Linked DNA regions of Saccharomyces cerevisiae S288C. Changing the gene in region 1 together with any one later gene gives a genetic interaction. Each region holds a gene or a part of one and is shown in the gene's direction. Other genes may lie near its edges.

Region 1 (3,011 bases):
TCAGTTAACCTTATTAACTTTTGTGATGTTTTTAACATGACATATTACAGGCGTCAGGATGGGCGAATAATCTAGAAATCGGCAAAAGAAGCTTCGAAAAATTAAGTTTTCAACCCTAAGAGCAGAAAGTAAAAAGAAATAGCGAAGTACAATAGAAACGACAATGACTAAGACCATCACAGTTGCTCATATCCAGTATGATTTTAAAGCTGTTCTGGAAGAAAATGATGAAAATGACGATGAATTTTACATCAATGTTGACAAAAACCTAAATGAAATCAAGGAGCATAAGATAGTAGTGTTAGGAAATAGCAGGGGTGTAGATGCAGGCAAAGGAAATACATTTGAAAAGGTTGGCTCCCACTTATACAAGGCGCGGTTGGATGGACATGATTTTTTATTCAATACTATCATAAGAGATGGTTCAAAGATGCTCAAGAGGGCGGATTATACTGCCGTAGACACAGCTAAACTTCAGATGAGACGGTTCATATTAGGCACTACAGAAGGCGATATTAAAGTATTGGATTCAAATTTCAACCTTCAAAGAGAAATTGACCAAGCTCACGTTAGTGAAATAACAAAACTAAAGTTTTTTCCAAGCGGTGAAGCTTTGATATCTAGTTCACAGGATATGCAATTAAAGATCTGGTCAGTAAAAGACGGCTCAAATCCTCGCACGTTAATTGGACACAGGGCGACAGTCACAGATATTGCCATAATAGACCGAGGAAGGAATGTGCTCTCTGCCTCTTTGGATGGTACAATTCGCCTTTGGGAGTGCGGCACAGGAACGACAATTCACACGTTTAACAGAAAAGAAAACCCGCATGATGGTGTTAACAGCATAGCGCTGTTCGTAGGGACAGACAGACAATTACATGAAATTTCTACTTCCAAGAAAAATAATCTAGAGTTTGGAACATATGGAAAATATGTGATTGCTGGTCACGTTTCTGGTGTTATTACTGTACATAATGTATTTTCCAAAGAGCAAACTATTCAACTCCCAAGCAAGTTCACATGTTCATGTAATTCATTGACAGTCGATGGCAATAATGCAAACTATATTTATGCCGGATATGAAAATGGAATGCTAGCTCAATGGGATCTAAGATCACCGGAATGCCCAGTTGGTGAGTTTTTAATTAATGAAGGCACCCCAATAAACAATGTCTACTTTGCAGCCGGAGCCTTATTTGTATCTTCTGGATTCGACACCAGTATTAAGCTTGACATTATTTCAGACCCAGAAAGTGAACGGCCCGCTATTGAATTTGAGACGCCCACCTTTTTAGTTTCCAATGACGATGAGGTCAGCCAATTCTGTTACGTTTCTGATGATGAATCAAATGGGGAGGTGCTTGAAGTTGGAAAAAACAACTTCTGCGCTTTGTATAACTTAAGTAATCCTTAACCTCTTTCGTACTAGTAACTTTTTCAAAAAAGTTCACTTCGCTGCATGAGCTTGGCGTAATGCGCTTTGAGGGTGATAATGCATTTTATTTCCATATGAAATATGTCTAAAATAGAACAATTCACTAAGAACAAGAAGGCCAAACTAAGCAGAATATGGTAGAGTTGACAATTACGGGTGATGATGATGATATATTGAGTATGTTTTTTGATGAGGAGTTCGTTCCCCATGCATTCGTTGATATACTCTTATCAAATGCCTTAAACGAAGATCAGATTCAAACGCAATCAGTATCCTCATTGCTATTAACCAGGTTGGATTTTTACACAAAGAACCTTACAAAAGAGTTGGAAAGCACCATATGGAATTTGGATAAATTATCTCAAACGTTACCAAGAACTTGGGCATCTTCTAGGTATCACAAAGAAGCAGAACAGAACGATTCCTCATTGTATTCTACTGAATCCTTAAAATCATCGAAGCTTGAATATTACTTAGATACGTTGGCAAGTGCTGTAAGAGCATTAGAAACAGGAATGCATAATGTAACTGAGAAACTAAGCGATCTAGATAACGAAAATAATCGCAATACCAATGTGAGGCAACAACTGCAAAGTTTAATGTTGATTAAGGAGAGAATTGAAAAAGTGGTATATTACCTGGAACAAGTTAGGACCGTTACGAATATTTCGACAGTTAGAGAAAATAATACAACCAGCACGGGGACAGATCTTTCGATAACAGATTTTAGAACATCATTGAAAGCATTAGAGGATACAATCGATGAATCTTTAAGCTCTGCGATTGATAACGAGGCTAAAGATGAAACAAACAAGGATTTGATTGGGAGAATTGATTCACTTTCTGAACTGAAATGTCTGTTTAAAGGCCTAGATAAGTTCTTTGCTGAGTATAGCAACTTTTCGGAGAGCATAAAATCAAAAGCACAAAGTTATTTATCAACCAAGAATATTGACGATGGTATGATATCATAATCGGTGATAAAAACAAAAAATTTGCAATTAACAAAAGAAATTTATAGCATGTTTAAATTCTTATTTCTTTTTACCATTTCCAGTCCTTTTGGTCCACTTGTAATGCATAAAAGGGTAAAAAGGAATTTGTTTAGGAGGACATGCTATTTCAGATAGTTTCTTTTTATTGATTATATAATATAGTGTACAATTTTGAAAATATAACTATTACACACATCTTTTCATTTGGTCACTTACATTTGTATAAACATATAGAGCGCGTCTATTAATAAAAGGCGGTGGACTCTGGACTATCAGATTCCTCCAACAGCGCTTCTTCATCGTCGTGTTTTCCAGTATGGTTTTTTCTGAGGAACTCGAGTCCAAATACGTACTTGAATCTTTGAACGAAAGCAGCCGGAAATACCTTCACTGCTACTTCATCGGGGCAGATTCTCACTAGCACCCCCATGATTAGAGACAACATACCACACAGTACCGCGGTTATCCACATTGATTTGGTTTGTCTGGCAATAGAAAATGGTGCGCCACCAAAAAACATGATTAAAACTTGACAGCTGCCAATGATCGCCATGATCGTGAGAAAATAATAGTTTCTA
Region 2 (2,852 bases), on another chromosome or scaffold:
CTTGGTATTGATCCATATGATCATATGATTTGTTCGACGCCATTATTCAGAATATTCCTGGGTGTGTCCGAATATCTTTTTTTAAAACCTGGCTTATTAGAACAGACAATTGATGCAGCTATCCATGATAAATCATTCATAAAAGATGATTTAGAATTTGTTATTTCGGCTAGAGAATGGAGCTCGGTTGTTTCTTTTGCCAATTTTGATATATACAAAAAGCAATTTCAGAGTGTTCAAAAGTTCTTTGAGCCAATGCTTCCAGAGGCTAATCTCATTGGCAACGAGATGATAAAAACCATTCTGAGTCATTCTAGTGACCGTTCGGCCGCTGAAAAAAGAAATACATAATGTTTTTAATGCTGATTTCCTATAATATTAGGCCTTCTTTTGTGAAAAGGAGTATATTTATATAACTGAATAAAAATATATATTGTGACAAATGCCCATGCAAAAAATCGTGAAAAAAGGAAGAAAGTTCTACTATTCTATGTAAAAATAAACCCATTAGATTTTTTTCCTCTTTGTGTAATGCTCACTACCGCGATTATCGTTCGTTTCATCTGGACATGCCAACGTTCTTGACCTTTTAGAACTTACGACCGGATGAATACTGTCATCATCACATGCAAGTAAGTTTTTGGTCATAAAGTCGATAGCATTGTAGTCATGTGTCCTTTTGTTAACGTTATTATTGTTGAGAGTAGATAACATACTAGACTTTCCTATGCTGCTGTTAGTATAAGGGTTCTTGCTGTTGTCTTGTGCGTGAAAGGTGTGGCTTTGAGCATTGTAAGAGGACATAAATTCATTGACACTGCCACCATTACTATTGCTGATATTATGATTTTTGGAATAGCTCTTTACTATAGAGTAATCACCTGGTTGTAAAGTACCTATCAGTTCCGGAAAATAAGATTTAAAGTCCTTATATATAATCCTATTCCACGCCCTGTTGAATTTTACCGTTGACGGTGAATACTGTAAGTCTTCCGTTGCTTGAATATGAAAAAGCGGTTGCCATATGTGGAAAAGTAAATCCTGTAATCCCAAGTCTTTCAATAAAAGATAGTTTAAGTGTGTCATCGAAACCGTTCTGTTAATTGGAAAGCAACAATTTGGAGACAGACATTTCATGATGATATATGGATCCTGGTCGTTTCCGCCAATATAAAGTAGTAGATATACTTCCAAAGAAGTCCTGGGCTCGTACATTACCACGTGCCAAAGATGTAAGTCTGAATCATGTGGCCTTACATGAAAAAGACCTTGGGTCTTCTCAGGATGGCGCATAAAATATTTCCAATCCTTCAGCAATTTCCTTGTTAAAGAGTAAGCCATAATTATTAGCTTTTTGATTAAAATATAAAAAAATCTGTTTAGCTCTTATATCGCCTCCTCGCACAAAATCACGACAAAGGCAACGTTAGATTGATGCTCTCAAAACATACTAAGAATGTGTTCTATGATATATATGGGAAGAGTAGGTTAAATATTTCTTATGACAATAACAAAACCCACTGCATCGTACAGGACGGGTAACAGAGCCCTTTCCAATTGAAATTTTGAATAAAACTATTTTGCCTATAAAAGTTAGATTTACGACAATTAATATTAGGCAGAATGTTCTCGGAACTTTCAAGTAGTAAAGGATTGCGTGGTTCATTTGTATTTACGAAACGGTGAGTAATAAGGTTTCTAAAACCAAAGGAAAAATAAAGAAAGATCTAAGAAGAAAGTTCCAGTAAAGTGAGTTATAGATCAAGATGGGTAACATTTTTAGTTCAATGTTTGACAAACTATGGGGTTCAAACAAAGAATTGCGTATATTGATTTTGGGTTTGGATGGTGCAGGTAAAACTACCATCTTATATCGTTTACAAATTGGCGAAGTAGTCACTACAAAGCCAACCATTGGTTTCAATGTAGAGACGCTAAGTTATAAAAACTTAAAATTGAACGTCTGGGATCTTGGTGGTCAAACAAGTATCAGGCCCTACTGGAGGTGTTATTATGCAGACACTGCTGCAGTTATTTTCGTTGTTGATTCGACTGATAAAGATCGTATGTCTACAGCCTCTAAGGAACTTCATTTGATGTTACAGGAAGAAGAATTGCAAGATGCAGCACTGCTGGTTTTTGCAAATAAACAAGACCAACCGGGTGCATTAAGTGCCAGTGAAGTCTCCAAAGAACTGAATCTTGTAGAATTGAAGGACAGAAGTTGGTCTATCGTAGCATCCAGTGCAATTAAAGGCGAAGGTATTACCGAAGGTTTAGATTGGTTGATTGATGTTATAAAAGAGGAACAGTTATAGCGATAAAGATTTGCAAAAAAAAAGTGTAGATGCATACTTTTTAAATGGCATTGAATATACATATAATTTGTTTTGTAACTGAATTATCAAGGAGCTCTATCCAAACATAATAGAGTTAGTAAGTGTATACATGTTTCTCTTTGGGTTTTAATTCTAAAGGCAATTACATCGTTCCGATGAATGAGAAGGCCGCATTAAAATACCTAATGACCTCTTAATGAAAGTTGCATATATACATTTAAATTAAATTGTCATTTCAATTCCGATTTATTGAAACAGGACGTCCGAAAGCAGAAACAGATTTATGTGCTTAATAACCCAATAAAGGACTTCAATGTATTCACGAAACAACACCCTTTTAATAACTAGAATAAATAATGTTACAATACCTACACTACTTCATACTTGATTCAAGAATAATTTTTTTTAATTCTTTCCCTAGATCAATAAGTTTCAATTCATTTTTATTTTTCCAAGAACAAACGTGTCTGTAGTCACAAAACTTACAGTATGTGTTGAAGTTTTTTTGAGTAG
Region 3 (3,738 bases), on another chromosome or scaffold:
TCTTTGAATTTTACGAAGTAATTAAGATAAGTTGACATGTCATTGAAACTGTAACTAGTGTTTACTGAACTGCATTCGTTGCCAATCCAGAATGGTGGTAAGTAGAAATCTCCAACTCGTGGAATTCTCGCTATCATAAACTCTGATGTCCTTAACTTGTAAATTTCGTCTACGGTGGGATCATCAATTGGTGTGTGTGTAAATTCGTTTGCAAAATATTCACCCCATTCTTCATTTATTTTAACTGCAGCTCGTAATCTGTCTGTAGTTACTTTTTCGCTCAATGATTTCCGAACACCCTTTAGAAATTTCATCTGACTATTGATCTTACTCAGTTTTCCTTTGTCGCTGGGCTTCCTTTTCTTTCGATTTTCCAACTTTTGACTCATCAAAGAGCATAAAACTTCACAACTATCTAATATGTTATTGGCCCCGCACATAGCAAACCTGCTGGCGTGAAAAGTTTGATGGTTGAACCCTGTATCGCCTTTCAAGTGAGTGAGCCTTTGAATTTCATTATGGAAAAGTGCGGAGTAGCTACAATTCCAATCGATCATGCATCTCAATAATATTATTCTATCTAATGGTTCCATCGTCAACAAACCACCTCCATTAAAATTTAGAGTAGATAAAATATCACTATTACCACGCCATTCTTTTGGTAAGCCCCACTCCTGGATTAAGCTTCTGAGTTTGCCAACCAGTTTTCCATATGGATTTTTCAAACTAAGAAATCTTTTTAGCGTGAAATTTCTATGAGTTTGGTTGTCTGCTCTTTTCTCGGAGCAGAATAATAACCTCAAAAGACTGCAAAATAGTAGATTCATTTTATCCTGACAAATTCGAATATTCTTCGCAGAATGGCCAGCCACCTTTAATTCTAGTCCTATCTCCACATCTTGAAATGACAGGTTCAGTAGATCGTCGCTGAACACCCATTTAAATTTGACGATAAAAGAAAGGATCTTCATAACATCGCCTGCATATGGGAGAGGGGTGCAAAGGGGAGGCGCCCAATTGCTTTCCGTTACCGTCTCATCACTCATAAACTTTGCAAAGTCAGAATATCGTAAAGGAATATTTGGTGACCAGTTTAATGTATTCAATGGTCTATTATTAGAAGTAGTGTGTTCACTGATCGACTCTACCTTGTTAGTGTCGTTCGAATGTGTTTTGATATTAGAATATTTGCTTGCCATATTTGCCTCCATTTCTTTAGTTTTCATTTCTTCATCACAGGTACCTTCATATTTCTCCCGCTTTTTAGTATTTTGGGTAGCAGCATCCAGTGATTCGTCAATTGAACTATTGTGAGAAAGTACAACAGGTTCTTCTACAATTTTGATGTTTCTGAAATCATCAAAGGTCAACTGACCCCTTCTTTTTACCCTAGGCTTTGAAGACTGGTTTTTCTGTTGTTTGACCATAGGTTTCTTGATAAAGTCATCGACCAAGTCTAAATCAATAATTTCTGTCATTATTGTACCTCAAATTTCTTGTTCCTTATTTTCTTGTTTGATGTCTAAAAAAAAGAGATATCCTGGTAATGAGCAGGCCGTTTCTTCAGCTCATACAATCGAAAGCTTAAGAGTTAGTCGTTGATATGGTATTCTCTAATACCGAAAATAACTTAGTACATATAAACGCGTAAAGTTCACGCGTTTATATCACCCTACCATATGACATTCTAACCCTACTAATTTTTTATCAAAGCTAATAGGGTTGTATTTTATTATCTTTTACACCTACCTTTTTTTTTTGTATATGCCCTATAGATGAATTATAATTGTTGGACCGGTTTGTATTGGGCTTTTAAGGTGTAAAGTGAGTGCGTATAGATTATAGCAGAATAGACTATAAGTACGGCAAGACAGGAAAGTCTCCAATTGATGTACATTTTATCGCTTTGTGATCTAGGCAGTCGTTACAAACATGTTTAGAGATAGAACTAATTTATTTTTATCATACCGTAGGACTTTCCCTCATAACATAACTTTCTCATCTGGGAAAGCACCCTTGGGCGATGATCAAGATATTGAAATGGGTACATACCCGATGATGAATATGTCTCACGATATATCGGCCAGATTGACAGATGAACGAAAAAACAAGCATGAGAATCACAGTGATGCGTTACCACCCATATTTATTGATATAGCGCAGGATGTTGATGATTATCTTCTGGAGGTGAGACGGTTAAGTGAGCAGTTGGCGAAGGTTTATAGGAAGAATTCGTTACCTGGCTTTGAAGACAAGAGTCATGATGAGGCGCTGATTGAAGATCTAAGTTTCAAAGTAATTCAGATGCTGCAGAAATGTTACGCTGTTATGAAACGATTAAAGACCATATACAACTCTCAATTTGTGGATGGTAAGCAATTAAGTCGAGAAGAGCTGATTATACTAGATAATCTACAGAAGATCTATGCAGAAAAGATACAAACTGAAAGTAATAAGTTCAGAGTATTACAAAATAATTACTTGAAATTCTTGAACAAGGATGATTTGAAACCTATCCGCAATAAGGCCAGTGCAGAGAACACGCTATTATTAGATGATGAGGAAGAGGAGGCAGCAAGAGAGAAGAGAGAGGGCCTCGATATTGAAGACTATTCAAAAAGGACGTTGCAGAGACAGCAACAGCTTCATGACACTTCTGCAGAAGCATATTTGAGAGAACGTGACGAAGAAATTACTCAGTTGGCAAGGGGTGTATTAGAAGTGAGCACTATTTTCAGGGAAATGCAAGATTTGGTTGTTGACCAGGGGACTATTGTGGACAGGATTGATTATAATCTGGAAAATACAGTGGTAGAGCTAAAAAGTGCAGATAAAGAGTTGAATAAAGCAACACACTACCAGAAGAGAACTCAAAAATGTAAAGTCATTTTATTACTAACATTGTGCGTAATAGCGCTCTTTTTCTTTGTTATGTTGAAACCACATGGCGGTGGCAGTGGTGGTCGTAATAATGGTAGCAACAAGTACAACAATGATGATAATAAAACAGTTAATAACAGTCATGATGACGGCAGTAATACCCATATTAATGACGAAGAGAGCAACTTGCCGAGTATCGTTGAAGTAACAGAATCTGAGAATGATGCTTTGGATGACCTACTTTGATGACAAAACTTTCACGGTACCGCATCGCGATTTTGAACTATAATATGCTTTGAAGAAAATTGAGAGATTTAGTCAGCGTTCATATGACCTGTTGCTCGTTCTATTTGAGAAAAGTGAAAAGGTTAATATATGATTTCAATAAAGTATGTAGTATGATAATAAAATACAAATTTATATGGGATAAAATTGAACCGCAAGTAAAGACTGGCGAACGAATATTGTGCATAAGTAGTTCCTGAAGATGATAAAATATGGTTTAATACAAGTTGGTGGTTATTGTGATTTGTAGAATATAAAAAAAAAAAAAGAACCTTCATTTTTCTTTTTTTACCTAAATCCGTAAGGATTGTTCAGTGAAGTAGTAGCTCGGGGCAAGTTTTTGTTTTGCATTCTCCTCTTATAGGCAGGCTTATATCCTTGTGTTATCGGGCTTTGGTTTGGTAAAGGATTCGGAGCAAAACCGACGCCTGGTACCGGATTTCTGTGCTGTGGCACTTGGTTTGGGGCAACGTTGAAATAAGGATTGCTTTGTAAAATAACATTAGAAGGATCTGGACCAGCAGGAGTAGTTCTTTGATATAAATTGTATTGATGATATTGCTGCTGTGGTTG

The links.
Region 2: mutations in COG7 (region 1) and ARL1 together harm fitness more than expected from each alone (negative genetic interaction), as found in Saccharomyces cerevisiae (5 studies listed by BioGRID, with this or other methods).
Region 3: mutations in COG7 (region 1) and TLG2 together harm fitness more than expected from each alone (negative genetic interaction), as found in Saccharomyces cerevisiae (5 studies listed by BioGRID).

The regions. Positions count from the first base shown.
Region 1 is NC_001139.9:489,109-492,119, reverse strand, and holds COG7 (Golgi transport complex subunit COG7), read left to right. Parts: upstream 1-1,572; coding exon 1,573-2,412; downstream 2,413-3,011. Other genes in the region: RPN14 (Rpn14p), read left to right, coding at 164-1,417; calcium-transporting ATPase PMC1, read right to left, coding at 2,678-3,011. UniProt on the Saccharomyces cerevisiae protein: Acts as a component of the peripheral membrane COG complex that is involved in intra-Golgi protein trafficking.
Region 2 is NC_001134.8:567,341-570,192, reverse strand, and holds ARL1 (Arf family GTPase ARL1), read left to right. Parts: upstream 1-1,766; coding exon 1,767-2,318; downstream 2,319-2,852. Other genes in the region: TYR1 (prephenate dehydrogenase (NADP(+))), read left to right, coding at 1-351; UBS1 (Ubs1p), read right to left, coding at 508-1,341; EXO5 (Exo5p), read right to left, coding at 2,713-2,852. UniProt on the Saccharomyces cerevisiae protein: Recruits golgins such as IMH1 to the Golgi. Can bind and hydrolyze GTP. May be involved in trafficking events within the endosomal system.
Region 3 is NC_001147.6:290,269-294,006, reverse strand, and holds TLG2 (t-SNARE syntaxin TLG2), read left to right. Parts: upstream 1-1,932; coding exon 1,933-3,126; downstream 3,127-3,738. Other genes in the region: ESC8 (Esc8p), read right to left, coding at 1-1,478; TOS7 (Tos7p), read right to left, coding at 3,454-3,738. UniProt on the Saccharomyces cerevisiae protein: t-SNARE that functions in transport from the endosome to the late Golgi and on the endocytic pathway.